Linked DNA regions of Arabidopsis thaliana. The protein of the gene in region 1 interacts with the protein of each later gene in a pairwise test. Each region holds a gene or a part of one and is shown in the gene's direction. Other genes may lie near its edges.

What was found.
Region 2: the proteins of ACT11 (region 1) and ADF6 interact in a two-hybrid assay, tested with the Arabidopsis thaliana proteins (one large-scale study listed by BioGRID).
Region 3: the proteins of ACT11 (region 1) and CHY1 interact in a two-hybrid assay, tested with the Arabidopsis thaliana proteins (one large-scale study listed by BioGRID).
Region 4: the proteins of ACT11 (region 1) and AT4G10080 interact in a protein complementation assay, tested with the Arabidopsis thaliana proteins (one large-scale study listed by BioGRID).

What each region holds. Positions count from the first base shown.
Region 1 is NC_003074.8:3,853,054-3,860,589, forward strand, and holds ACT11 (actin-11), read left to right. Parts: upstream 1-4,726; 5' UTR 4,727-4,890; intron 4,891-5,052; 5' UTR 5,053-5,062; coding exon 5,063-5,122; intron 5,123-5,234; coding exon 5,235-5,628; intron 5,629-5,783; coding exon 5,784-6,397; intron 6,398-6,490; coding exon 6,491-6,556; 3' UTR 6,557-7,036; downstream 7,037-7,536. Other genes in the region: TET6 (tetraspanin6), read right to left, coding at 170-661; AT3G12100 (Cation efflux family protein), read right to left, coding at 1,688-1,789, 1,886-1,975, 2,064-2,214, 2,310-2,348, 2,479-2,548, 2,892-2,980, 3,112-3,188, 3,425-3,464 and 2 more. UniProt on the Arabidopsis thaliana protein: Actins are highly conserved proteins that are involved in various types of cell motility and are ubiquitously expressed in all eukaryotic cells.
Region 2 is NC_003071.7:13,290,250-13,297,034, forward strand, and holds ADF6 (actin depolymerizing factor 6), read left to right. Parts: upstream 1-3,703; 5' UTR 3,704-3,921; coding exon 3,922-3,945; intron 3,946-4,193; coding exon 4,194-4,459; intron 4,460-4,548; coding exon 4,549-4,699; 3' UTR 4,700-5,161; downstream 5,162-6,785. Other genes in the region: RUS2 (root UVB sensitive protein (Protein of unknown function, DUF647)), read right to left, coding at 1,209-1,634, 1,725-1,847, 1,944-2,123, 2,287-2,384, 2,467-2,560, 2,651-2,710, 2,832-2,916, 3,018-3,106 and 2 more; AT2G31210 (basic helix-loop-helix (bHLH) DNA-binding superfamily protein), read left to right, coding at 6,406-6,785. UniProt on the Arabidopsis thaliana protein: Actin-depolymerizing protein. Severs actin filaments (F-actin) and binds to actin monomers.
Region 3 is NC_003076.8:26,375,035-26,383,146, reverse strand, and holds CHY1 (beta-hydroxyisobutyryl-CoA hydrolase 1), read left to right. Parts: upstream 1-3,465; 5' UTR 3,466-3,478; exon of another isoform or gene 3,479-3,529; intron 3,530-3,899; 5' UTR 3,900-3,985; coding exon 3,986-4,015; intron 4,016-4,090; coding exon 4,091-4,171; intron 4,172-4,235; coding exon 4,236-4,304; intron 4,305-4,365; coding exon 4,366-4,429; intron 4,430-4,504; coding exon 4,505-4,584; intron 4,585-4,653; coding exon 4,654-4,737; intron 4,738-4,816; coding exon 4,817-4,901; intron 4,902-4,983; coding exon 4,984-5,069; intron 5,070-5,210; coding exon 5,211-5,332; intron 5,333-5,566; coding exon 5,567-5,627; intron 5,628-5,724; coding exon 5,725-5,823; intron 5,824-5,889; coding exon 5,890-5,991; coding exon of another isoform or gene 5,992-6,015; exon of another isoform or gene 6,016-6,067; coding exon 6,068-6,109; intron 6,110-6,185; coding exon 6,186-6,317; 3' UTR 6,318-6,537; downstream 6,538-8,112. Other genes in the region: AT5G65950 (trafficking protein particle complex subunit-like protein), read right to left, coding at 1-700, 796-962, 1,219-1,560, 1,744-1,824, 1,915-2,038, 2,119-2,233, 2,314-2,375, 2,469-2,857; ZWI (kinesin-like calmodulin-binding protein (ZWICHEL)), read left to right, coding at 6,753-6,892, 6,983-7,211, 7,288-7,854, 7,940-8,039. UniProt on the Arabidopsis thaliana protein: Involved in valine catabolism. May be indirectly involved in benzoic acid biosynthesis and in cold signaling and cold tolerance.
Region 4 is NC_003075.7:6,297,101-6,304,845, reverse strand, and holds AT4G10080 (uncharacterized protein), read left to right. Parts: upstream 1-2,101; 5' UTR 2,102-2,285; coding exon 2,286-3,137; intron 3,138-4,266; coding exon 4,267-4,392; 3' UTR 4,393-4,827; downstream 4,828-7,745. Other genes in the region: AT4G10070 (KH domain-containing protein), read left to right, coding at 5,087-5,252, 5,396-5,787, 5,879-6,064, 6,151-6,252, 6,317-6,388, 6,506-6,619.

The sequences.
Region 1 (7,536 bases):
AAAATTCGTTTGCCTTTTTCATTTCTAGTCACATGCTTGCTTTACACGCGATTAGAAACGAAGAAACAAATAAAATCAAAGGCTTAAATTATCATATGATAAGATATATATTAGATTACTATAGCAATTTGTTAAGCAAGCATGAATCATGTCATAAAGTAGATTGTACCTGAACAGAAGTCATGTCTCTTTGGAAATAATCAAGTGTAGTCCAAGACTCAATCTTAGTACAAGTCTTGGAACTCAAGATACAGCTTCTAATGGAGTTCCAATACTCAGGATCCCTAACTCTCTCTCTCAACCATGGATGATAGTCTCCAAGCCTATACTCTTTATAAATCCTCCCTGGCACTTCCACTCCACCTCCTTGGCTCGTCACCACCAGACCAAATAGCGTTAGACCCATTAGGGTAGCGATGAGGAAGATCATGACCACTAAGTACACCCAAAGAGCCCATGCCACGTTGAAGCAGGCTCCTATGAATCCCGCAAGGGAAACTATGAGTATGATGAATCCTATAACAAGTAGCGGCGTCTGGAGGAAGTTTTCACATGTCGTGCTGCTTCTTGCCTTGTATAAAGCGGTTCCGATGATTGGAATCGAGGCTAGTAAGGTGAGAAGGTTTAAGACCCCAATAACTGTGTTGCTGAATCTGTACATAGTAGTAATGTTATCAAGAAGAAATCAGAGACTTAACACTGCCTTCTTTCTTTTGTAAGCAGATTCTCTTCTTGCAATGTGAATTTCATCAGCTTTATCTTACAATCTTCTTTTTCTAGATATAATATTGGTTAACTCTACTTTTGGCTTTTGATTCTCTCTTATCAATTGGGAATTTTTTAAGGGGAAAGGTTAAGAGTTAATGGTTTGATGATTCATGATCATATTCTTTTGGTCCTCTCTCTCTTGAGTTGAATCAATTAAACAATAACATTAAAACCGTATAATTTTCAAATAAAAGTGTCTTTTTGAACAATTGTTTCTTGTTTATTATTCTATATTATACGTTTTTGTCGTTGGAGTTGGTACAGAGCAGACCACAACCAAGAGAAATCAAGTAGTGCCTTCATTAAAATATGTTCTTAAGACATTACACCATAAAGAATACAACTTTTTCTAGCTTTTAGTCCAAAAACTGCAATCATGGTTTATATAATGGATGATCACAAGTGGAATAAAATAAATGTGCTATGTTCAATGAAGCATAGGAGTAAGCAAAGAATAATATATAGACATGGACGGGAGATGATTTCGTAATCGATGAATTTTCTTTCTAAGATGCTTTTAGTGGCCCATTCCTCGGAATATTAGGTTTTTAAGATATAGCTTGATGTGATCTCCGATTCCCCCACTTCCTTTTTTATCGTATAAATAAACGAGAAGGAATGCTAAAATCTTGTCTCAGCTCATATTGAATTTTTGTGTGTTTACTTTCACATTTAGCAAATGATATATGTTTTAATTCGCCAATCATTATGAGCCAAAATATCCACAAGCTTGAAGATACAAAGGTTTGTGGTCTTTGTGTGGTTGAAAATTCACATAAATGAAAAACAAACAAAACAATATCACAAAGTCACAACTTGAAAATTCACAATATTTATATTCCTAAAGAACCATGATCTCTAGTATACATCCAAAAATCTTCAAATCAGCATTTAAAAACAAAGAAGAGGCAGATGCAGCTTAGGTGTAATCAGTTTGCAGGGTCAAGTCTTGTACACCCAAATCATGGTATACATCATATACATATTGCAGTAATGGTCTTTCATCTATTCCGCTCTTCACCTAACGCCGATAAACAAAATAACAAACCCAGTCATTTCCATTTCTAGTGTGAGCTCATGTTTTAACCGATATAAAAAAAAGGAGAAAAGTGAGTACCTGGAGTCTGAGTGAGCCAACAGTGTGACCAGGCACAACCTCCCAGAAACGTGCCTGTAAAACCTCCGTTACATCTTCTCGAGAAGTAATCTGTACAGAGAGAGAGAGCTGAAGAGAAGCCTGGTTTGATCAACAATGGGAAATATGTACACATTCGAGGAACGATTTATGAGCGAACCTGTCGCAAGCATTTGCTTAAAGCAGAAGAAGGAATGTTTGGGGGTGCCATCTGAAGCAAGACACCACCAGTGGCTTTGAAGAGTGGCATAACAAGCATAAACACTGTGACCGATACCAATCCTAAACATAGGACCTCTGCATTTTCAACCCTGAAAAAGCCAAGGCATAAGGAGCAAAAGGAAAATGTAGTCAAGCAAGAAGACACTTTTATTCATTTAGCTCCTTCAAAGAAAGCGAGTATTACCCGAGCGAGAGGAGCCAAGATGCCAGTATCAAACCTGCACTGAAAAGACAGCAGCAAAGAAAACTTCATGTTGACTGTATATAAGTTTGATGCAAAAGGAAGCATTTTCTTTTCTATATAGCTTTCTCCGATTCTGCTTGAAATTTATAAAGGCAGAGAGGATTAACACCTGCGGATGGAATCTGATATGACGTGCAAGCAAACGGAGTGATAATTCATATCTTCTGCTTTTCTGTAGGCTGCAGCATATTGCATATTATGAATATAAGAAAAAAATTCAAGATAACATGTGGTTTTTAGATATGTAAAGAAGGGACAGATAATTTCAAGAAGCAACGAATAGTCGTTTGACAGATCAGTTACAATTATGCTGACTCTCTCTTTCAACTAATCTTCGTACTGATTCTATCTTAACCAAACACCCTTACTTCTTTGGCTTTAAAGCGAAAACTGACAAGGGTGGCCAATTTCTACAAATGAATACCAAAGCCACCAACAAAGGCTATATCAAAATATAAAGCAGCGTATGAGCATCAATTCATACAAGTCTAAACAGAACTTAAAATGCAGAGAAAAACATACCAATATTGACACGAGCATAATTCCGGAAAAACCAAACACCTAGTAGGTTCACCAGCAGATTTGTTACCGCTGATACAATCAAATAATGCCTACATAAAGGAAATCTCAGTAAATCACACTACTGAAAGGAACAAGAGGGAACAAGTACTGTAAACTTAGTAAGTGCTAGAGATATATATAGAAACTCCTAGGCATGTCATTTGTGAAAATATCAACTTACTTATGCTCTGATTCATCTTGTATAAATGCATGAAGAGCTTCCACAGCTAAGGAGAATGACATGAACATAAGGAACAGCTGTCTACACATATGTCAAATATTAAACAAATCAAAGTATTAACCAAAAAGATAAACTACAGAGACAATGAAAGGCAAAACGAAAAGATAGATTGTATGGAAGTCCAAATCTTTTTAACGAGCTGTAAAATACTCTATTCTATCAGCAACAGTAAAGGAAAGAGTTTTAACACTGAGTCAAGCCATCTACACTAAAGCTGGAAATGACATCCAAAACACGTTAAGAACATACTTACAGCATTAGTGAAAGCAGATAAAACTTCAAGTCTTTTGTACCTGGGAACCCAAAAAAAAGAGAAGACAAGGATGCCTAAATTACAACCACTTGAGCATAATCACATTACAGTCTCGGGAGAAAAATAGATCATAAAATGGATTAACCAACTGAGCCAATCAAATTACTTGTAACTCACCCGTATGAGTAAGCATGATCAGGCTTCTTCCTTGAAGTTGCCATTGCAAATAAAGAAAATGTCAAGAGACCACAACCAAATGTCAAATGGAATGCATCAGAGACCAAACCTGTAAGAGTCCACAAAACAATTCAAAGAAAGAATATCAACAATTCAGAGATTCAATCCTAAAACAAAAAGAGAACTGAAACCAAATCGTACCTACACGACCAGTGAAGATACCAATAGAGAGCTCTGTTGTAGAATACAACACATTAAGCGCAATTAGCAGAAACAGTCTCTTCATCTGCCGATTTCCACTTGTCACTACTCCAAAAACCTCCCAAACCATTTCCAAAACAGACACTTTTGCCATGTCTACATCTTTCCCTTCCCCGAAAAACACATCACTTCCATCAACGGAGTAAATATCCGGCGGCATATCGATGCTCGAGACCGTCCTATCGAGAAAAGGCTTAGCCGCTTCCGTGACCGCCGGCGTTCGTGGACCGTGAGATTGCTGAAACGAGCGAGAATAAGCAAGCCTCCGATCATTAGCAGCATATCCGACATCGCTGCTCCGATCATCAGGGAGCTCGTTATCGCCTCGAGGATTAAAGGAAATGGATCTCTCCATTTTCTTCTTTGATCTTAAAGTTCCAACTTCGGCAAATACTAAAATCAACAGTCAGTCGTACAAAGAAACTCTGCTTATACAGTAAAGTCAATGGGCCACTGTTCTAAGCCCATATATAATTTTAGAAGCCCATAGAATACAAAAGAGTCAAGAAGCATTGACCGCACAAGAAAAAAACAATTGTTAAAAAGGGTTGGTTAGTGTGTATGTATATATGAAATGCAACAAACATTATACAGCCCATTAAATATGGTTGTTATAGGTAGATGTCCCCATTAAGGAACTTTATCCAGCCCATTAAATTACTTTACAGAGTAAAAGAGAGAGAGAAGATTTACAGTTACGTTACCAAATTTTCGAAATGATTTAATTAGTAATAAATAAATAATTAAATGTCAGTTACTCTCTTTAGAAAGCTAAATAAGACAGCTGTTTCCACCAACAACGTGACTGGTCGTGGGGTCCTCCTTCGTTCAAAGTGATATTCAGAAATCAACGGCTGAGATCTTCTCCATCAATATTTATTACGGGCCTATTCCTTCCTTTTTTAAACTTCAATTCTCCGGCTCACATTCTCTTCTTCATTCGCTCCGTTTCTCTCTCAAAAACTACACACCCGTACCACACCACCACCCTCCTCGTTTCCTCAGAGATCCCCTCTCTAACTTCTAAGGTAATCACATTTCCATAACGTTCCATCGTCATTGATTCTTCATTAGTATGCGTTTATGAAGCTTTTTCAATTTAATTCTCTTTGGTAGATCTTAAGATTCCTCTGTTTCTTGCAAAATAAAGGGTTCAATTATGCTAATATTTTTTATATCAATTTTGACAGGATATAGAAAATGGCAGATGGTGAAGACATTCAGCCTCTCGTCTGTGACAATGGAACCGGAATGGTTAAGGTACATCTTTACATGACCTTTGTGGATATAAATCTGATAACTTTTTCTTTTATTATTTTTGGATACAATGCTGTTTTGTCTGGTTCATTCATATGTGTTTCCAATTCCTTAGGCTGGATTTGCTGGAGATGATGCACCAAGAGCTGTATTCCCTAGCATCGTTGGTCGTCCTCGACACACTGGTGTCATGGTTGGTATGGGACAAAAAGATGCTTACGTTGGTGATGAGGCTCAGTCTAAGAGAGGTATTTTGACATTGAAATATCCTATTGAGCATGGTATTGTTAGCAACTGGGATGATATGGAGAAGATTTGGCATCACACTTTCTACAATGAGCTCCGTGTTGCACCTGAAGAACACCCTGTTCTTCTCACTGAGGCTCCTCTCAACCCCAAGGCCAATCGTGAGAAAATGACTCAGATTATGTTTGAAACTTTCAACACTCCTGCCATGTATGTCGCTATCCAAGCTGTTCTTTCCCTCTACGCTAGTGGTCGTACTACTGGTAATAAGATCTTCAACACCTACACCATTTTTTTAATCACTACTACCCATTGCATTGAACAAACTTCCAAGTTCTTCTTAGCTTCAGATTAAGAAAGTACCCTTTCTTGGCTTTGTTGATGTGGTACCATTGTCCATTGTCTTGTGTGTTTCCAGGTATTGTGTTGGACTCTGGAGATGGTGTGAGTCACACTGTTCCAATTTATGAAGGATATGCTCTTCCACATGCTATTCTGCGTTTGGACCTTGCAGGCCGTGACCTTACTGATTACCTCATGAAGATCTTAACCGAGCGTGGTTACTCATTCACTACCTCAGCAGAGCGTGAAATCGTAAGGGATGTGAAAGAGAAACTTGCTTACATAGCACTTGACTACGAGCAAGAGATGGAAACAGCAAACACAAGCTCATCCGTTGAGAAGAGCTATGAGTTGCCTGATGGACAGGTGATCACCATTGGAGGAGAGAGATTCCGCTGCCCGGAGGTTCTGTTCCAACCGTCTTTGGTGGGAATGGAAGCTGCTGGTATTCACGAGACCACTTACAATTCCATCATGAAGTGTGATGTGGATATCAGGAAGGATCTGTATGGAAACATTGTGCTCAGTGGTGGAACCACCATGTTCCCTGGAATTGCTGATAGGATGAGCAAAGAGATCACTGCTTTGGCTCCAAGCAGCATGAAGATTAAGGTGGTTGCTCCACCAGAGAGGAAGTACAGTGTCTGGATTGGAGGCTCCATTCTAGCATCACTCAGTACCTTCCAACAGGTAAAATCATCATTCGGTTTTATATGGAATTTTGTGTCCTTTTTTTTTGTTGCCCATTGTTAATGTGATACACAAAATGTTGTTGGTGTGCAGATGTGGATAGCAAAGGCCGAGTATGATGAGTCAGGGCCATCAATAGTCCACAGGAAGTGCTTCTAAGATTAAGCTCAAATCAAAGTGATGAATGATTGTTCTGTATTGGTAAAGCCTTTTGTTCATCGACTTTGTTGCAAAATATTCTTTTGTTTTCTATGTTTCTTCACCACTACATTACATTTCTTTCTTGTTGTTATCCTCTTTTGGTGTTTCTGCTATTAATCGAAAAAGAAATTTTCTTTTCTTAGTTTCTTTTTTCTCCTCTTCTTAATTCTGTGAAGATAAAAAAGAAGGATGAAACCAGTGGCCAGTGGGCATTGGATTTGGCTTTTTATTTTAGGCAAAAGACAGGAGTTCTTTACAAAAAGCTAATTCTAAAAAAGAGGAATCTAAAGCCGAACCACATGATTGGAGTTATAGAAAGAATAGTGACCTGCCAACAAAAACAGTACGATTAACTCGGCATTTTTAATTCATCGACATGGTCAACATGGTCAACATTGTCACGCTTCACTTCATTATCACAGTATGGAATACAGCGCCAGTAATCATAATAATATTTTTTTTAAACAATGTGCTCAGTTTGATAACTACTCTGACGAAGCATCAAACGAACAGACAAAAAACATTGGAACCCCCGAAACTATGATCCAAATTCCAAAACCTAAAACTTAGAGAGAGCAATTGTTAAAAGAGTTTTGTCCCTCTTATACACTTGGCAGGTCTTAAACAAGAAGTTGACTCAAGTCAAGATTCACTACGAGCACGTAACTATTAAAAGTTTAAGAAATGCCAATAGGGAGATAGTTTTAGTACAAGAGTTTTACTGTCCGAAGGTCACATTTCTACGATCCCAACAAAACAGCGATGAGAAGAACAATACCGACACAAAACATTTGAACACTAACTTCCCACATAACATAATGAGCAGCCAAAATGTCATAACACAACAAAATGGACAATAAGATTATTAAAACGAAGCATAGCTTCTTTAACAAAAGACAAACAGACAAGAGAAAGGTCGACAATTTCTTCACCATCAT
Region 2 (6,785 bases), on another chromosome or scaffold:
ACGAAGATCGTCGATATCTAATTCCATCATTACCAAGATCTTGCCCTTTTTCACAATTTTTTTTTTCTCTTTCCGTTTTCTTTTTGGGGTTTCATTTTCTAATACAACGAGGGTTATCTTCTCTTACAACACTACTCCAATATAATTGTGGAGTTCCCATGTTTTTAATGCAAGTGTTTTGTTTGATAATTGATAAATTCAAATGGATCGTGACCTAACGAAATCTAGATATTTGTGGGTCCATTCAACTACTAACTTTGTCGCTTCTTTTTGTAATTTTCCAAGGGTCGGCTGATTTGCATTATTGATTATACATGCATGTCAAAAGTAAAGAAGCCTTAAACATTTCACTAGTTAATATTTAAAAAGGTGTTACTTATCTTCTTCAATCAGATCCAACTAGCTATCCCTAAAATAAAATGTCTCAACTAAATTTTGAAATCTGTATAAGAATAACAAAGTAAACATTTTCATCACTTAACAAATTGCTAAATAATCATGAAAGGTTGAAATGTTAATTTTAATACATTAATGACATTTTTATTTTCTGTAGTTTTTTTTATTTATTAACAACATGCATAATGATAATTTGAAATTAAGTTTGGTCTAAGTCTAACCAAACCTGAAACACAACTTAACCAACAAAATCTTTTACCTCCTCTCATGCTCTATCAGAATCTTACTAGTTATGTGTCCAGTAGGCAGTAGCATTGGCTAACCCTCGTATAAGGTAGTTCTGATAATTGCATTTATCAAATATTATATGTAACAACATGCAACAAAAGTGATATATTTGGGACATTTTCACTGATCAAAATATCCCAAAATGAAGACTAAGGAAGGGTCCAGGTCTAAGGAAAAATAGAGCCCGTACACAAGATTTGACCAAGAGAACTATTTTAACTTTAAATAAATATATATATATATATATATCCATAAAAAGCATTAATCAGATTCCATTTTGATTGATATATATGATAAAATATGTAAACTTACAATGGCAAAACAAAAGTACAAACGAGGACAAGAACCGTACCTTCAAACTTTTGTTTCACCTAACAATCTCACTCTAATCTAATCCATCTAAGTCTTCAAAGTACTAGATTGTGGATTCATGATCTGGATAAAGACTTCTTACGCCTACAAATTCGTGTTTATACTTGAAACAATAAAAAATTACAATAGCAAAATTACTCGAAACTCGGGAGCTACCAAGCAAATCTTGTCCCCGTGCCATCGAGAAATCTATCAGTATACCATCCTTTAGCTTGCACTTGAGATAAAAATGGATTGAAGACATCGTTCATTTTGTCATACGCGTCTTGCAATATAATGTCATCAGGGTCATTATATATCTTTGTCATTGACTTGACATATGCTGCAACTAACCACCCTCGCAATGCATCTTCACCGGTTGCATCGTGCTCTAAGACCATATCGGTCCATGACTTTCCATGACTCAATAGAAACTTCTCTTCTACAAACACTTGTTTTAGTCTTTGTACCTCAGAAGGCTTCACAGCTTTATGGAGAGCCCTTCCCACTTTTACATTTCCTGCGTCTTGGATTGGTCTCTCGGGGAACATTAGGTCTTCTTGGAATCTTAAATCAGGAGGGCTTGGGACTTTACCAGTCTGAGAAGATACAACAACACCTCTTATGTAATTAAAAGAAATCAACAAGATGGTTTACAGAAAAATTGAACAAAAGATGATGCTAATTACCTTGAGAAAATTAGCCACAATCAAAGCGGTTCGCTGTGGATTCAGTGTGTTGATTGGTACCCCTCGCATTTGTTCTACAACGCTATACACATGTACAACCGAAAGAATTGACCCAACCACCAACTGCAGATATCAGCCTTTTCATAATAGAGTTGCAATCCAAACAAATAGAAACTGCATTTTGAAATAGAGAGTAACGATGTAGCAGAATGACATTACCTTTCCCTCCATTGATGAACATATTGTGGACGCAAGTTGAATACCAGCACCTATCCCGGCAACATTGAAAAGAGTAGAGATAGCTTCTCCTTTTGCAAAAATGTCACTAAGATTTCCTTCTTTGGCAAAAGATGAATATATTGGTAATCTTGTTGCCCTTGCTGCAACTGTAGCCATTCCCTATTTAAAACAAACAATGCCAGAAAAGTATGAAAAACAGGAAACCAGTGAAGCTGATTGATGTATAAAAGGATGGTCTTTAGAAAGCTAATATATCTCATAGGTCTCCTATTGAAGCTGCTGAGGAAAGCAGGCACAGATGTTCTAAGAAAGATATCTATACCTTAGCAAAATTCCCCAGACCAGCCATTTCAAGAAACAGATGCGGGCATAATGGAGAAACGAGTTCCAGACCAGTACCAAGATCGTAAAGCACGTCAGCTGAAAATTATGAATCAATACTTTTTATAGTTAACGCTATAAAGACATCAGCAGAAACATGTAGCTACAGAATGGTGCATACCCAGAATCCTCCACCGTTTAGGCTCAGAGTCCATTCTTGCACCCAAATTGCTACATATTAGCTTTCCGACATGTTGCATCCCATCCTTCAATATCTACAGAACCAATAGAGTAAACAAAACTTTCACTTACGGACAGGGACTGAACAAGCAAACGAACAAACAAACTGAAGTGGTTTAACATACCCAGCTAACAACAGTTGCTTGTGCCGGTGTAGGCCGCAAGCCTGCAGCAAACAACAGTGACTGCAAAGGAATGATACAAAAAAAAGTTATGTGTCCATGTGAAAACCTCCATTACAACAGCTCAAGTAAACAAATGCAATTTTCCCAAAATCAATAATCAAAGCTGAATCATGAAGAAGACCTGAGTCGATAACACTGATAATGCTGCACTAGAGAAATGCTGAAGTGCTCGAAACTGTGTGTACCTAAGATATCCTTCGTTGACACTATAGAGAAGAAGTAAAGAAAGAAACTTGGTTAAAACACATGCTTTAAGGCTAAAGCCTAGAGACTCTCTAAAAACAAAAGTTCCAAACTTTGAGTTCACCTGTATGGATAACCAGAAGGAAAGAACTTGTTAAGGAAAGATTCAACCATCTTCTGAGGAACAGGTCTTGCATCATCAACAACTTTCATCTAAAACGTGATAATTCACATAATGATTCTACAAGTTGAGAGCAATGGCATAAGAGAGACAAGAACGAGGGAGAGGGAGATTTACAGAGAGGTGGCCGTCGGATTGGAACTGATAACGGTGAGAGACAGAATCAGAGGTTTCGAACCAGTAAACCGGAAAGTCTTCAGGGCTCTTCAACATTACTGGGTCTTCCTTCTTTATCAACTTCACCTTCTCCTGCTTCGTTCCCCAAGTTACAAAGTCATTCACTATAGTTTGGAGAATCATAAAATGAGATTAAAAATACAATAGAATAAAGATTGTGAAATCCTACAAGAAACTGCATCTCTGAGACACGATGGCACAGTCAGGTTCCGAACGTTAAGAGTCGCCGGAGTTGGAGTGAACCACCACAACAGTAATCGCCTAGAGCCGTCTAAAAACAAAATCAAAGAGATTATCTTAACAACGACGTCGTTTCTTCGTTCCTTTTCTACTTCTGAGGCCCAAATGATTTTTGTTACTATTCACTAATGGGCTTAATTAAGGCCCAATATTGATAGATACGCGGCGACTAGTTAAGGGGCAACAAATATGGCCCACTTAAAAAGAAACACGACTTTTCTTATCGCGTTGTTCTAACGCCACCGACCGAACACTTCTTTTTCTTCTGCAATAAACCAAAAAAAGTTAAAAATTCAAAAACTTAATTACTAAGCAAAAGTGTGCACGAAGAACAAAGCGACGCATCCGATTTTATTTGTTTGATAAGTTCGTGTCGTCTTCGTCTCTCTAACCCAATTCTGTGGTGTCTGAAGAAAGCAGAATCAAATCCATGTCTTTCAGAGGACTTAGCAGGGTAAAATTACAAAAAAAAACTTTTCTCTTCTTGCTTAAAATCGATGTACTCTTGTCTATGTCGCAAGCATCTTCAATGTTAAAAATTTGATTTTTATGAAGTCGATGTTAAAAAAAACTAAACCCATCTCCATTTTTACTCTTATTGAGGGTTTAAGATCACTAGATGAAGTCAATTCGATGAATTTTGGATTAAAAATCGAATCTTTTGGTATGGTTTTGATATGTGTTTTGGTTTTATATCTGTAGCCAAATGCAATATCTGGAATGGGTGTTGCAGATGAGAGCAAAACCACATTTCTAGAGCTTCAAAGGAAAAAAACTCATCGCTATGTGGTCTTCAAGATTGATGAATCCAAAAAAGAAGTTGTTGTTGAGAAAACTGGAAATCCTACAGAGAGCTACGATGATTTCTTAGCTTCACTTCCTGATAATGACTGCAGATACGCTGTTTATGACTTTGATTTCGTTACTTCTGAGAATTGTCAAAAGAGCAAAATCTTCTTCTTTGCTTGGTTAGTTTGATTTTTACCATTAGTAAGTCTATAAGGGTTTTGATGTGTTGAGACTAAAACATTTTGATTTGGGACTACTGATGTTGTAGGTCTCCTTCGACCTCTGGAATTCGAGCCAAGGTGCTTTACTCGACTTCTAAAGACCAGTTAAGTAGGGAGCTTCAAGGGATTCACTATGAGATTCAAGCTACTGATCCTACTGAGGTTGATCTTGAAGTGTTACGCGAACGAGCGAACTGAGAGCAAGCAAGATTGCTATGTCTATTCAAAACTTATGGTAATGTAATGAATAATTCGTATTCTCTGTGGATTGATTTGTGTAAACACAGTTTCATGTTCTATGTCAAACTGTATAACCTCTGGTGTTTCAGATTGCACAACCTAAAGCTTAGGTAAACTGAATATGGTTTAAGATCGTAAAAGGTTGATATATTAGTAATGTTAAGAGGGAGAAGAAACTTCTCTTTAGTAGATAACGAGAATGTTGATGAGCATGATGAGAGAGTTCTTAAACTAGTCTAGCAAATTCTGTATAAGCTCTTGTTGTAGCCATCTTGAATTCGAGTCTAATCCTTGCGAACAATATAGAAAGTGGTAGTGTGTAAAGTTTCCCTCATCATTTGTGGTTTCTTTTTCTCACTTTCTTCGGTGTAGTAAAATTTAAGTTGTATGTATAATAGTTCTATCATATACCTGCTTTCTAAAACAAAACAAAAAAAACCTCTTTCTTGTTTCCGCATATCCCCTTCCGATTCCATTGAGAGCAAAACCATTTTATGAGGTTGTATACTTAACCTACCATTCCTAATTCCTAATTGCTTAACTGTTACCAAACTGTGATGTCAAAAAGAAAAATGTTACCAAACTGGAGTCAAAATGACATAAATACCCTTGACCATTTGAGAAAAAATGTAAGGAATTAGGAGGTTGCAAGTGGGGTCCATTGCCGTTGTGGCCAAAAGCGAGATTGCATGACCCAACTGAAATCTCAATTAGGAAGGAGATTGCATTATTTTTATATGTTTATTTATCATATCTCATATTAAGGTCCATTTCCTTCAGTCTATTATCATCATGTATCCACTATTTGTTTGACATTGGGGAACATTTTAGAATAAGAAGTGGAACTGGAAAGTAAAATATATCTATTAGTTCCAACATATTTCATTAGTTTTAATTTTTCTTGCTCCAAACTCTAGTAGTTTATAAATACACGGCTTGAATTACGTTTAAAAGAAAATAACTAAACTTTCTAATAATTCTCCAAATATTAGAACATGTCTTAGTAAAGAATTAAAGCTTTGTTTGTGTCAGAAATTAAAGGTTGGAACCATTTTGTTCTCATTCATAAAAGGGAGAAGAAAAAAAAGAAAAGAAAAATTGTTTCCTCTGTCTTGAAGTATTTAGTAGAGAGCTGTCCAAAACAATACAAACACGTCCAAAAAACCCTCTCCTATGGGAACAAGAAAGACCCAAAAGACACAAACACACACCCAAACTCCATCAAACAGAAATAAAGCAAACCAAAAAAGCTTCTCTCTTTTTTCCTACATTTGATTTAAGCTCTAAATGTTGAAATGATCTTTGATTTGACATTGTGAAGCTGAAATATAGCTGGTGGTAACCTTCAAAGACGACAAAGAAGGAAAAAGATCATCATCTTCTAACTTTTGGTAATTAGATAATTTCATTCTCTAAACAAAGTCTGATTTTTGAATCAATACTAAAAAAGTGATAGAAGAGAAGCTATCAAAACACAAAAACAGAGGATTTTTCTTTTCCAATCTAAAAGAAAGGTGCTTAAGGGAATTAGTTTGAGATTAGGTTTTAACTGAGTTTATACAAACTTTCTTTATTTAATGAAATTAACTTAGATTGGCTTTTGTCTTAAAGATTAATTATGGTTGTGAAAATTAGTTTTGGTTGCAGAAAAAAATCAGTTGAAAATGTATGAGGAAAGTTCATGTTTTGATCCTAATTCGATGGTGGACAACAACGGCGGCTTCTGTGCGGCGGAAACAACTTTTACGGTAAGCCACCAGTTTCAACCACCGCTTGGAAGCACAACAAACAGCTTTGATGACGATCTTAAGCTCCCAACAATGGATGAGTTCTCTGTTTTCCCTTCTGTTATCTCTCTCCCAAACTCAGAAACTCAGAACCAAAACATCAGCAACAACAACCATTTGATCAACCAAATGATTCAAGAATCGAATTGGGGTGTTTCTGAAGACAACTCTAATTTCTTCATGAACACTTCACATCCAAACACAACAACAACTCCAATCCCTGATCTTCTCAGCCTCTTGCATTTGCCTAGATGCTC
Region 3 (8,112 bases), on another chromosome or scaffold:
GCATGTAGATTGATTAAACTGAACTTCTAGATGATCTATTTCAACTGGAAGAGGTAAATGAGAAAGTAGTGACAACGTAAAAGAGCACAAAGCGTGAGGCTTGATCATTTGATCGTGAAAAGCAACTGAAGCTAGGAGAACAGGTCTCAGAGGACTGACAAGATCAATCTCGAGATGAAGAGGGCTATCAGTGGCTAATTTGAACCCACTTCCTTCGGTAGATGATAACAGCTCGGCTTCACGACAAACAAGAGTAAAAACTTCTTGATGTATACTTTCTCTTCCTGAAATTGTTGCAGGACCTCCAGGACCATAATTTTTGTTTCTTAAGTTCCCAGAATTCTCATAAGATGTTACAGGCAGGGCAACCATTTCAAGTGAAAACTCTACAAAATCTTTCAAAGCATCAAGGTTTCTCGAACACTCTCGCAGGTAACCCAACACCTCCCAGAGCAAAGTTACCCAACCTTCTTGTCTGTACAAGTTTGCAGCAATATCGAAAAAGAATTTTGCGTTGTTGGGATCAGCCAAATCAAAGTACTCCCGGGCTACTTCAAAGGCACAAAGAGCAGCCATCCTCTGGGCTTTAAGGTTGGTAAATGATTCATAAGATCTCTTCAGCCAAGCAATAATTTGAAGGGAATCCTGAACTCTCTTTGCTTCTGAAATTGTATACCGTGTGTACTCTTCATCCGTTATACTGCAAATACATTAGAATTCATACTATTAGAGATGGTGGTAGCATAATTAGTTTTCTTTTACATAGATTTGTGGGATGAATTATGAACAACTTACGAGTGAAGTGTAATAGCTTCTCCCTTCTCAAGCAACTGAGCGAACTGACCCACATAGACTGAAGGAGTAATAGATGCAGAGCTGCTATCAATCTCTTGAGCTATTTCAGACATTGACAACAACAGTTCCAGGGCAGATTTCTTATCCTTCAAGTAATGAGCAGCCAACTGCGTGTAAAACGAAAATTTCCCAGTGGATAAGAACATATTATATTTTCAACATACTGTACCTAGGAACAGACAGCTCAGAAATTTATGAGAAAGAGGACGAAAAATCCAGCATTTGCTTAGAGGTAGGTGTTTAAGTTTATGTAGTATTGTTTTTAACTAAATGGTAAAAGACACAGAAAAGATTTAACACAAAATGCACCACCAAGTTTAGATATGTTCCGACTATGTGTTACATAGAGCAGAATTGACTGACCTGATAATAATAGGCAGGGTAAAACTCAAACTCAGTCAAAGATATTTCCGCAGTTCCTTGGTTTGAGGATGTTAAGCTCTGACCAGTTGCTGAGCTTGTCTCCAGCAACTCAGCAAAGACAAGAAACTGCCTACTCATCCAGTCCCAATGGAGAAAAATAAATTCTGTGGATCCGACAACCTTTTCATATGATGTTTTATGTTGATGAAACCATGTCACTGCTTCTATGAGTTTTCCACCATGCAACAAAAGCGTTGATATCTTGAAATGCAATTGCTCAGCTATGATTTTGATCTCGACCAAGCGTTGTATTGCAGGCAACCTAGTCGATGTCCCGATCATCTGTTTGCATAAACAAAATTGCTCGTCGAAATTGAATGTGTGGAAACCGCAGGCAAAGATATGTAATAATAAGAAAGCAATGACCATATATGCATCAAAAGGAACTTCTTGACTAGAAGCAGAATACATATTAGCGTGACAGATGGGTTGGGAAAAAACAAAATACTTAGAGATAATAAAGACCTCGTGCAAGGAATGGTATGCGTCTTCATAAAACTTCAGTGCTTCACCCCAATCTCTACGAAACTCTGCATATACAGCGACCTAGCAGTCATGGCATGAATGAGCCTTCCTTTTCCCAGATACTTTGGAACAAAATGATTAGACTTAGCAGAGGTAACGAGAAAAGCTTACTTTAAAACAGTAGCGAACATTCAAATCAAGAGAATTGGAACTCCTTTTCTCAATTCGGCTTTTGATTCTCCGTCCTTCTTCTCTGTAATAAGAAAGTGCCAACTCTGCAAAAGCAGAAGCGAGTCTGCAAACATACCGTGTTGAGATGCATTGAAGGAAAAGCCTCTTGTTCTAGGTGCAAAGTAAAAGAGGAGAGAAACATACCTGGAGAGAGAGAGCGTGAGTTCAGAGACTATGCTGGAATTGAAGAAGAGCACGTACTTAGAATCTAATTCTGCCCGCTTTCGCAATGCCACCAGACGATCGTCGCTAATGTCCTCTAAAAACAAGTCGGGAAGGAGTAAGTCACCAGTAGTTCCGAGAGGAAAATGAAAAGAATAATCGGATAAAATGCGCTACCGTGGGGAGAAGACTGGACCACGACAACCACCAGTTTGATGTTTTTGGGACGGATTACGGATCTAGCAAGCAATTGAGATCGCAGTGTTAATTTGAGGGTTTGAAACAAAGGAGGGGAAACAAGGAAACAAATATAAAGGGAGATGAGGAAATACTTGAGGCTGTCGAGATCGGAGCAGACCTGTAGCCATTGAGTTGGATCGCCGAAGATGTGATGTGAGGGAAAGAAGGCGGCGACAAGTGCAGGGACCTTGGTGCGATGCTTAAGCAACCAGTCCCGTTTCAAAATACCGCCGCATCTGGAAGGAATGGGAGAAGCAGAATCGGAGACGCTGAGAGGATCTCTGAAGGAGGAGGTTCGGCTGATCTGATCATCATGAGCAAGGAGGAGAGAGATTTGAGAGAAGTCGGGGAAGGCCAGAGCGTTGATGGGAGGCTGCTGGGAGTGGAGATACTTAGTAATGGACGCGTGTAGCTCCGCGTATCCGAAGAGAGCCACCAGACTTACCGGTGGCGTCCTGAGCTCTTCCGGGTATTCCTCCATCTCGCCGGGGAGTGTCTGAGACTCGGACGCGTTGAATCGAGCAAGGAAGGATCTGACACATTCATTTTACGTGGGCTTTTAACGGGCCTTTGGATAAGGGAATGGACTTGTATAGCTGTCAGATTGTTCATCTGGCCCAGAATATGATGTGAAATACTTAATGGGTTTTCAACGGGCCTTTAATCTTTAAGGGTATGAACCACTGCAGTTGTCAGATCTGATTTAAACTAATGTGGTTTCTAAGGATGTAGTATCATCAGGCCCATTATAAGCCCACTTCTTAAAGATGCATCGACTCGTCAAAAAAATAAAATAATACAAAGAATTCGAATTGGTTGCATATACAGAAACATTGGATTTTACAAAATGGAAGAAAGAATTATTGGAAGAGAATGAGAAGCTGTCAAGCGGAGGAGCGGTTGATGAAGTCAATGCAGTCTGCAATTGCATCGGCGTAGAAAGAGTTAGAGCGACGTATAGATGTGTAATCAAGACCGTCTTCTCTGACCAGCGGAGGCCTTCTGCAGCACCAGCTCCTGAGAAGCCTGAAAAAGCTTCTCACTCTCGCACGCAGTCTCTTTGTCTTCTGCCTCAGCCTAATTCCTCTTCCACTCGGCCATCGTATCCTTGCTCTTTCCATCTTTCAACTCTGTTGCATATGCGTCAGATTGTTGAGTTTTCATGTATATGCAAATTATCTATATATCGAGAGGCGAGGGCTTTCATGTCTGACTTTTAGAAGTGGTTGTTGAGAATTTTTGAAGACTTTTTTAATGATTGATCTGGTGCCCACGTGTCATTTTATGCTAGAGGGAGGTGTTGGTTAGTTGGAAAACTAGCTTCCTAACAAAAAAAACACATGTCTAACGTACTCGATAAAAACATATAATCTTCTCATTCATCAAGCATGTTGCAAGAGGGCTTTGAAATTGAGTTTGAAAAGCAAAGTTCCATTTGCTCTATTAACAAAATAAAGCCCATTATTAAAACCAACAGATTACTATAAGGCCCAATATCAACTTCCTAAACTAAGCGGGTGAAGATTTTGTTAGCCATTAGTGGTAATTTCTGATCCCATTGCTGCTCCTCTCTCCGGAGATACAAAGGCGAATCTGACCAGTAAGAAAGATGGCAGTCGAGATGGCCTCTCAGTCTCAGGTCTCTTTCTTGCGTCTTTAATCCGAATCTACGACGATCAATTCTTCGCTCTCTGAATTAATAATATGATCACAGGTTTTGGTGGAAGAGAAATCGAGTGTTAGAATCTTGACACTAAACAGACCAAAGCAGCTGAATGCTCTGTCCTTCCACATGGTATCGAATATTTCCCTTCTTGTACATGCGTACTGTATTGGCTTAGACTCATTTTTTTCTGTAGATCTCTCGATTGCTGCAACTGTTCCTTGCATTTGAGGAGGACCCTAGTGTGAAACTTGTCATCCTAAAGGTAATCATTATCCTTATCTCTTCCGCTTACACACATTTAGTACTGAATAACTTTGCCACAGGGTCATGGGAGAGCCTTTTGTGCTGGTGGCGATGTTGCAGCTGTTGTTCGTGACATCAATCAAGGTTTACCACCCATTCTTTTCTGTTTCTTACTTTCAGCTTTTATACACTCTTTCTCTATCTTCGTTCGTTGACTAGGTAACTGGAGACTCGGTGCCAATTACTTCTCATCTGAATACATGCTCAACTATGTTATGGCCACATATAGCAAAGCTCAGGTCTCGCTATAATTTCGTTTTGTTTTTGTAAAATCACTCCCGAGTGGATAAACTCATCAATTCGTATAGGTTTCAATCTTGAATGGTATCGTCATGGGAGGCGGAGCTGGTGTATCCGTCCATGGTCGATTTCGTATTGCAACTGAGAACACGGTAATCTTTCCTTAAACATGTCCATGGATGACAAATAGGTCGCTCCAAAATATGCTCATATCTTTCGACTTTCTCCAAGGTTTTTGCCATGCCTGAGACAGCTCTGGGGCTCTTTCCAGATGTAGGCGCCTCCTACTTCTTGTCAAGGCTCCCTGGTTTTTTTGGTAACAGAAGCTATATTTCCTTTTTTTGCATCTTCTTAAAGCCACCAAAGTTTGAAAATGCTTTCTTGTCTTTTTTGTTCAGGGGAGTATGTTGGCCTCACAGGAGCTAGATTAGATGGTGCTGAAATGCTTGCTTGTGGCCTTGCAACTCATTTTGTGCCTTCAACGGTATGAACTTCCTTTGCGTGCGTCTATTTCGTAAGACATTCTGAATTGACTTTACACATCAGATATTGTATAGCTACTAGTGTCAAGCACTATCTGCTTCACCAAGGATTGCTACTTAGTTAGGTTTACTCCTTTCCACAGAGGTTGACTGCATTAGAAGCAGATCTTTGCAGAATTAATTCAAATGATCCAACTTTTGCCTCAACAATTCTCGATGCATACACCCAGCATCCGCGCCTGAAACAGCAGAGTGCTTACCGCAGGCAAGTCTATATGATTTTTATCTCTTTTACTCTTTCTACTAGTATGGTTTTACCTGATTACATTTTCTCGGTTATTGACCATGATTATAACACATTTTTTCTATAATTTCAATTTCGTATTGCTGTCAGGTTTTCAATCGCTCTTTACAGAACTCATTTCTCATCTGATCTTTAATTGAAAATTTATAAAAGTGCAGAGGACAGTTATTTTTTATCTCCCCGTTTGTTGCGCAGGTTAGATGTTATTGATAGGTGTTTCTCAAGGAGAACAGTCGAAGAAATTATATCTGCACTTGTAAGCTTTTCATTTATATATAGAGATGTTGACTTGCGATCCTGAGTTGACTGATTTACCTTTGACAACGCACTCTACCATCATATGTGTTGCTTAGGAGAGAGAGGCCACTCAAGAAGCAGATGGTTGGATCTCAGCTACCATTCAAGCATTGAAGAAGGGTTCACCAGCAAGCCTTAAAATCTCTCTTAGATCGGTTAGTTCCCAGAATGTGCATCACAGGCAATGTTGACAAAGAGCTGACTGTGAGTATATATTTCAGATAAGGGAAGGGCGATTGCAGGGGGTGGGGCAGTGTCTTATCCGCGAGTATAGAATGGTGTGTCATGTGATGAAGGGAGAAATCAGCAAAGATTTTGTGGAGGTTTTGCAAGCTTTTTCCATCTGAAACCGTCTTTGTTGTAGACCGTAGTTACAACAGCGTGTCTTTACTTATGCAGGGGTGCAGAGCCATATTGGTAGACAAAGATAAGAACCCAAAGGTTTAACAAGTCTCTCCATTTGTTATTTGTGGTTGGTAATATGTGACATTGTTGATAACAATATCTGAAATTATAGTGGGAGCCAAGGCGACTGGAGGACATGAAGGATAGCATGGTGGAGCAGTACTTCGAGAGAGTGGAACGGGAGGATGATCTAAAGCTTCCGCCAAGGAATAACTTGCCTGCTTTAGGGATCGCAAAGCTGTGAAGTGGAGAAGGTGATGGAGCACTATTGTTTACGTCTGTGGGAAAGAAAAAAGAAAATAAATGTAACAACACTTGTGTTGAATAGGACTTGCATACATTACATAAATCATTATTGTATTTGAGAATTGACACCAAAGCAGCAGAGCAGAATTGTGTTAAGATTTGTTAATGGTGTTGGAGGCACAACCATGGCAAACGGACGTGGAAGCACGTCTATAGTCATTGTTCATTTATTTGATTGAGATTCCTCCTTGGTCTCATCTTCTGAAAACGAAAAATAATTAGAAAATCAGGTGAATCGTGAAGTATTGAATGAGAAGAGGCAATTAAAAATCTCCCGTGACTCTCGTCTCCCCATCTCTCTCTCTCCCTCTGCCCAAATTTCTGGGGCAAATTTGTTCATCAGATCTACTACAATCTCTCTTTTTCTTCGGGTATGGAGGGCCAACGAGGCAGTAATTCTTCGTTGAGCTCTGGCAATGGCACCGAAGTCGCCACCGACGTTTCTTCTTGCTTCTATGTTCCCAATCCCTCTGGAACCGATTTCGATGCCGAGTCGTCTTCTCTTCCTCCTCTGTAAGTCTTCTTTGAATTTTTAAAAACATTCACTCTCTTGCTGCTGTCTCTGTTGATCCTTCTTCTTTGAAAATTTGAAAACATTCTTAGTCTCTCGCTCTGTCACAGCTCCCCAGCTCCTCAAGTGGCATTGTCAATTCCTGCGGAGCTTGCCGCCGCCATTCCCCTCATCGATCGCTTCCAGGTTGAAGCTTTTCTGCGGCTAATGCAGAAACAAATCCAGTCTGCTGGGAAGCGTGGCTTCTTCTATTCCAAAAAGTCCTCTGGCTCCAATGTCCGCGAGCGCTTCACATTTGAGGATATGCTTTGCTTTCAAAAGGTTTTTCTTTCCCCCCCTTTCTTCCCCATTGACAATCCATTGACTGAATATGTCTCTCTCCCCTTCCTTCCTTCAGGATCCAATCCCCACATCTCTCCTCAAGATTAACAGCGATCTCGTCAGCCGTGCTACCAAGTTGTTTCATCTCATCTTAAAATATATGGGTGTTGATTCATCTGATCGATCTACGCCTCCCAGTTTAGATGAACGCATTGACCTCGTTGGAAAGCTCTTCAAAAAAACTTTGAAGCGTGTTGAACTCAGGGACGAACTTTTTGCCCAAATCTCCAAACAGACTAGACATAATCCTGACAGGCAATACTTGATCAAAGCTTGGGAATTGATGTACTTATGTGCCTCCTCTATGCCTCCTAGCAAAGATATCGGTGGATATCTATCTGAGTATATTCATAATGTCGCACACGATGCAACTATTGAACCGGATGCTCAGGTTCTTGCTGTTAACACTTTGAAAGCTTTAAAGCGCTCTATCAAAGCTGGTCCTAGGCACACCACACCTGGTCGTGAAGAAATTGAAGCCCTTTTGACCGGTAGAAAGCTCACAACCATTGTCTTCTTTCTCGATGAAACTTTTGAAGAAATTTCATATGACATGGCTACCACAGTGTCTGATGCTGTTGAGGTATCTTCTTGCTTTCTTTTTTCATAATTTACCGCTGATCATATTCTTGTCCCTTTTTCTCTCACTGCATTGACATCTGTTTCAGGAGCTAGCTGGAACAATTAAACTATCAGCTTTCTCTAGCTTTAGTTTGTTTGAATGTCGTAAAGTTGTTTCAAGTTCTAAATCATCTGATCCCGGAAATGGTATGCTTTCATATGACTGGCTTCGTCATATATTGTGAAGTAATACAACATTATCGATCATTTTTCTATCTGT
Region 4 (7,745 bases), on another chromosome or scaffold:
CTATATTCTTCTAAACATCTCCAATGTCCATCTCTATTTTTTTTCTCCATTTAGAGGTGATTCTATGTTAGATACATTTTGCTTCAATATATGTCTCTAAAATAGATTTTTCTCTAAAATAAAGGAATCTTACGTTTTAATCTATATAAAGAGTAAAATCTATTTATTTTCTCTATTTTGGAGAAAAAAACTATTTTAGAAGAATACATTGGAGCAAAATCTAATTTCCTCTAAAATAAATTTGTCTCTAAAATGAAAGAAAAAAATAGAGGTGTGCATTGGAGATGGTTTTAGACCGTCTACTCTATTTTAACTGATACATCCCCTATATATTAATTGAGAAGTATTTTAAATAAAAAACCTTACATTCACGTGTGATTTACAAGACTATCATGCTGACATGTCGTAACCAGAAAAACTTTCAACAAACTTAATAGTTATCCAATATTTACTAGACTAATTACATATAATGCCATTAGTGGTACTTATGCATATTTTTCCTCTACATTTAAGAGAGTAGCAATTAATAAAGAAAATTAATCAAAAAACCATATATATTTGAGCAAACAAGTAAAAAGTATATATCATAAATTATGATGAACAACATATAATATAAATGTTTATTATATGTTTCGTACTTTATTTTTTTAGGTTTTATAGAAAACATTTAGAATTTTAACATATATGACATTCTATTTTTTTGTTATAAATTGCAAAAAATCTAAATGTATATGTGAGCCCATATGATTCTTGAATATATTCGGAACATAGTTTTACATAAATTAGTTAGTAACATTTCATTTATTACACATTCACTATGAACAATATTTCAATATTAATCTATGTTAAAAATGTATCCGCTTACTGATTACTTTCAATATTATTTCTTTTCAAATTTTTACCTTATCAATTTATTAAAACTTTTACACAGTTTATTCAATTTAATTAGTCATTTACTCATTTTAGTTAAAATTTATTTACAACCCAAAACCTTATCGTAACAATATAAATTGATTAATAAAATAAGGGATATGCAATAAATCAATCCTAACTACATAGAATTATGAAGAATAATAAAAGATAATCAAAAATTTATTACGTTTAAAACATAATTATTCATACTCTTTTCAGTTTTTATATTGAATTGTTTCCAAAATAAAATCTTATAAAATACAAAAAATATTCGAATATATTTCTGAATTATAGGAATGATATTTCAGATTTTCTTTTGGGTCAATATTTTAATTTAAAATCTTATTCCAAATATAGAATATCCTAATTCCTAACTAATAAAATCTCCAAAATATATCAGTTACTAAATCATATTCAAATATTCACACTTATATATCAAGTGATAATATAAAATCTGTTTCCAAAAACTTGTTTATATATTTCATATAACTATTTCTCCCTGTACATAGTTCGGGTAAATCATCTAGTATTTGATTAATTCATTTGATCTGCACCATACGATTCGTCGTGAACCCTAATTAAATCATTGTGAAAAACCAAAAAAATGAAAGAACAAAAGGAATAAATACCATACTTCTCTCAATCTACCAACCTTTAATGTCAAAAGATCTAGTTGAGTACTGAGAATGTTACGTGACCAATTAGATACCTCTACATAACTACTTCCTCAAAGTGGATAAGAACCATTCTTTTCGAAACAAACTAAACTATTAGAGACTAAACCATTTAATTTTGGAGCGGACAATAATCCGTTATAAACTAAATTTATTTCTATATAAAATCGGTCTAAAGTTTTTACCGATTTTTTTTTTCTATATTTTTGGTCAGTACTATTATAAATACTAATCTATAAATAATAAATAAGAAAATATTTCAATCTACCGATGGATTTATTTGCAAAACCCACCTCAACCGTTTGAATCTTGATTATATATATTTTTCTTACATCGTCTACTCTATTTTAACCGATACATATTTGTTTAATTCATTTGATCCGCACCATACGATTTATTGCCGAATCCTAATTAAATCGTTTTAAAAAATAAAATAAAAATGAAAGAACAAAATGAATAAATACTATAGTTCTCTGAATCTACTAAACTTTAATGCCAAAAAATTTAGTTGAGGACTGAGATTGACACGCAACCAATTAGATACCTCCACGTAATTACTTTCTCAAAGTGGATAAGAACCATTCTTTTCCATCATCAACCGCTCTAATTTGTTGCGATCCTTTTCCAATATTTGGGGTTTTATCCATTAGGGTTTCTGATTATTGCAATCCCAATCTGAAATCTTCGAATTCGATCATCATGGATGATTGGGAGCTTCTTCATCATGGCTCTGATACAGAATCAACTGATTCAATCACATCGGAGACGAAATTAGAGAGTTCAAGCGTAATCGATGACGGTATGATTCTTTCTGATCATTTCTCTGCTACTGATCGGGTGATTGAATCGGGTTATTTTGATTCTTTTCGGGTTGATTACGGGTCGGAGTGTCTGAATCCGGGTGAGGTTAGTGTTGATTCTGGTTTGGATCAGTTCAGTGTTAGTCAATCGGGTGATGATTGTGTCAGAAATGAATTTGGGGTTTATGATTCAGAAACTGGAATTTTGGGTGATGGTGAGGTTAGGCTTAGTGATTTTGAAGCTGCCAATGAGAAATATGTTGAGAGCGAAGCTGCTACTGAATTAACTGGTGGAACCGTATCTCACTATGAAACAGAGAATCTCGAAGAATTCGTTGATGGAAGGCACGGTGAGAACGAATCGGGTGTTGAAGAACCTATTGAGGATTCGAGCAAGTTGTGTTCTGATTTAGGGGGAAATGAATTGGTTTCTCGAGATTCTGGGGTTGTGAATGGTGAAAAAGAAGTTGTTTCTGATAGTGTAGTTGCTTCTAGTGAAGTAATTGAGGGAAGTGGAGGAGATACTGTGGAAGTTGGAGGCGTGAGTTCTGGTGGTGAGGGTAAAAGTAGAGAGACTGTGTGGTGGAAGATGCCATTTGTGCTTCTTAAGTACTCTGTGTTTAGGATTGGTCCGGTTTGGTCTGTCTCTATGGCTGCTGCTGTGATGGGTTTGGTTCTCTTGGGACGTAGATTGTATAATATGAAGAAGAAAGCTCAAAGGTTCCATCTTAAAGTTACGATTGACGATAAGGTACACTATATTATCATTGACCCTTGTGTTTTCATTTTGCTTGAAGTTGGTAAGCTGGTCTAGATTGATACGTTTTAGGAGTTAGCTACACTCTATGTTGTGTTGATGCAATTGGTCTGACTTGAGCCGTAGAATTTCAAGTTTAGTTTAGTTCTTGTCTTGTCCTGCCTTATATTAAGGTGGGGGTATTGGACGCATGAATTTGATAGACTTCAATAGAATCTTAAATTCTAGTGTTATTCAATTAGACATTTCACAAATTCTTTTAAATTCTTGTGTTATTTAACTTGCTCATTTCTTAATTCTATTAGTTGCAAGTGTTATTCAGTTTTCGGTAGTTTTGTTTGACAACGTTACTTCACAAGAATTTAATAGAAAAATTGGTCTAAAATGTGAAGAACAAATTCTGAGTTTTTGAGTTGAGATTTGGATAGAATATAACACATCCATCCTTTTTTTCTCTTTCATCGATTTGCTTCAACCATACAAAAAAAATTCTCAAATCTGAGGGAGAGTGTTTAACACATTTATTAGAATCTGTGATTTCGATCCGGTTTATTCTTCGGATCATCATTCGTTCGATTATATATGAGGAGAGTGCGTTAATCTATAGAGAGCAGATGAGCGGAGGTTGTGATGACGTCGTTGTCGTTGTTGTCAAAATATGGATCTCTTCCATTTCATGTAAACGTCAACGTAGATTGTTTCTGGGTTAAGAGGTTTGTGAAGGAAAAAGTACAGTTTTTAGAGATTGGGCATGGTGGCTGTCCCGATAAAGAGCATTGTGGAACAAAAGATTTCAGTAATTTATCTTCTTAATTCTAGTAGAATTCTATTAAAAATACTGCAAAATATTTATTTGAATTGAGAAGAAAGATTCGAAATTCTTTTATTATACCTGAAAATCTAGAATTTATGTCCAATACCCCCCTCTAAGATATAGATTTTGTAGTTAATATGTTCTTGTAATCTGTCTGAATTAAGTACAAAAATACTGAGGCATCATCCGCTGAAAATGCTGTGATTTGATATTTTCCCTTAGCGCACATCTCTTTGCTTGGTTGGTATTTGTTTGGTGTTGGTTTACTTCTATCATTATCACGTCTTGGGTTGTTTATGATCTGTGCAGAAGGCGTCGCGGGTGATGAGTCAGGCTGCTCGACTCAATGAAGTGTTCACAGAGGTAAGAAGGGTCCCTGTGATCCGCCCTGCTCTACCATCGCCTGGCGCATGGCCGGTTTTGAGCCTTAGATGAGAAGCCGTTTTCTACAATACCTAGACACAGTGGAGAATCAATCATACAATGTCCATCACTTTATGTACCGTAAGAATACAAATACATGTGTTTATGTCGTACCTATGCATAAGTAGTAGTTTACCATCTTATGAAATCGCGTATGTGAGTCGTGTCCCAACCGTGGGATACACTGCAGAGTGATTACCGTAGCGATTTATGTATGTTCAGAGACTGAAAATCCCAGTTGGTAAGCCTTTTTCTATGTTTGATCTTAAGAATTTCATAAGCTATATGTGGGTTTTGTTATGGATTTCATTGGGGTTTCAAGCTTGTAAACTATTATAGAGAGGAGGACATAGTCCAAAGTCGATAAAACCACTACAATGGAAATAAAGACCCTACAAATTTCTACTATGTTGTCGATTCTACAAAATTTGAGTAGAAGCTATCGTCTCAACAACATCCCCTCGACGATCAACAAAGAAAACATCATTATTTTTGATAACTTTAAAAAAAAAACTGGTAGCCCATTTTTAGGCCCAATAAAAGCCCGAACATTATAAATAGACGTTAAAGCCTTAAACGTTACTTCTCCACCACCGTTCAGAGTCGCAACCCAAACTCTTTTCACTGCCGGAGATAATTCTCTTCTTCCCCAAACCCTACAGTACTCAGCTTTCCCTAAATTCCTCGCCGGACGATTCGTTTCCAGATGACGGAGGAAGATTTTGTTGTTATCTCTACGCCGCCTGTCGATCTCAAGCGAAAGCTCGACGAAGTTGAGCTTAATGGAAATATCGTGGATGATAGCAATCAAACATCTGATTCTTCTCAGGCTAAACGAGCGAAGCTAGAAGATGAAGCTCAAGATGGTTTAGGTGTTTCTGTCTCTTTGGCTTCTTATAAACTAAAGTTTTGATTTTTATGATGTTCTATGGTTATAGTTTTCAAAAAAAGAGATTTCTTTGAGTTTGTTGATAAATCAGTCTTTCTCATTGTTGTTCTTCGGCCTTTGTTGTAGATTATGGGAATACACAAGAAAATGGGTCTTCAATGGAGGTAAAAGAGGAAGAACAGCTTCAGGAACCTAAGGAAGAGAATCAAGATTCTGTACCACTTGTTGAGGAAGTTCAGGATCCTATTCATGCTGATGAGTCTGAAAATAAGATTTGTAGTGTAGATCAGCCAACAGATGATCAGGTTAAGCCTGAGGATAACCAACAAGGTTGTATTGAGGATGTCAATGGTGGTGAACATCAGAAGGTGATTGATGACGATAGTAAGGAAGTGAATGATGGTAGTTCTCAAGAGAATGGTAAAGAAGAAAATAAGGAAGTGGATGGTGAAAAATCTCAGAAGGAGGTTGATGGCACACAGTCGACAACTCGTAGGATAGATGTCCCAAGTTCAAAGGTGATATGATTTGGTTTTCATTTTTGGCTGTTCTGTGAGTTTTTTTCTTTCGGAATACTTTCACTGACGTGCTTATCACAATGCTTTGCAGGTAGGTGTGTTGATTGGTAAAGGTGGGGAGACTATACGGTATCTTCAGTTTAACTCTGGTGCCAAAATCCAAATTTTGAGGGATTCAGAAGCTGATCCGAGCTCAGCGTTAAGACCAGTGGAGATAATTGGAAGTGTTGCATGCATTGAAAGTGCTGAGAAGCTTATCAGTGCAGTCATAGCAGAGGTTAACAGTTGTTTTTTTCAGTAGTTTTGGCATCTTTGTATCTGTAAGATATTTGGTTACAAGAATTTCTTCTCGTACTACATTAGGCTGAAGCAGGAGGTTCACCTGCCCTAGTTGCTAGGGGCCATCCTTCCACTCATGCGATAGGGATCCCAGAACAGATAGAGATTAAAGTTCCAAATGATAAGGTATTCCCTAGTTTATTCTTTCCAGCAACAATTTAATCATATCTAATTCAGCTTCAACTGACAGGTTGGTCTGATTATTGGCCGAGGTGGCGAGACAATCAAGAATATGCAGACAAGGTCAGGAGCACGTACTCAGGTGGTTACTTGTGTATGATGTTAAAAATAGAAACTGACTGAAAGTATTTAAATTTTAGGAAACGTGTTTACCTTGTCTCATTCTATGTGACAACTGATTTTAAAATTTGTTGTGTAGTTAATACCACAACATGCAGAAGGTGATGGATTGAAGGAGAGGACTGTCCGTATATCTGGAGATAAGATGCAGATTGATATAGCAACTGACATGATAAAAGATGTTATGAACCAGGTTTGTTTCTAATACTATACTCTCAACGATGCATGCTCCCATTCTTTCTTGAGTTTGGTTTGTTGCTATCATGTGCCTGAATGCGACATATGTTTCATTTCGTCTTTGGTTGGGATGTTATGCTGGTGGTTGATACTGTCTTCAATTTTACTATGCATAAATTTTGTTTGAGGTAATATATATGTGTGTTTGCATAAAGTTTCCCATCATCTGTTTTAGTGTTTGTAGGCACTTTTTGTTCGTATTGCTATGTTCCATAACTGGCAGTACAACTAGCTAGGTCTGTTAAGTGTTACCTGAATAATGTACTCATGTTGTGCTGTTTAAGATAGTGCTTCCTTCTTAGATTTATGTTACTCTCCTGCGAATAATGCTAAGCTATGAAATCCTTATTACTCTCCATCGTCTAATATATATGGAAAATGTATTCTCAACATACCTTCTCCTGGGGTCATTAAATAGCTGCATGTTCTGTGAACACCCCCCCGTAAGGATTAGTTGATCTACTGCTGCCATAAGAACACTAACTTGAAAAAACTCATGTGCTCATTTAAACTTGCTAAGAACAATATATGTTTCATCCTCGATGTCGGTTGCCATGATTTTTTTTAATGTTGAAGGTGCCGATCTCGAATTGGTGCTGGCTTTAAAAATGCAGAATTCGCTATTACCGTTCACATGGGGTCAGCGTTGCCTCGTTGGTGTTCAGTAGATTGATGTATACAGAAGAAGGTATCTGGCAATGTTATTCAGGCTTGCAGGTTTGAGACTTACCAACTCCAGGACCATTACTTTAGTGTAAATCTAGCAGGCAGAACTTCATTTTCTGAGACGTTTACTCTTCCTAAATTATCATCATTGAAGATGCACACCTAATGTTTACCATTGAGATTGGGGGAGTTCTGTAACTCGATTTGCAACCTAGTGTAACAAAATTGCATAAGATATGCCTGAACTTACATGGAATGGCTAGGGGAGAGTGTAATGGGAAAATGGCTATAATATTACATGAAGATCTAATTTTATTTTTTTCCAAGCATCACTGCGGTTTCAATTATTCTATGGTGCCAAGCTGAGGCAAAAAGAAATCTGTTCACTTGAAATAGTTTGGCATGTTATTTGTAAG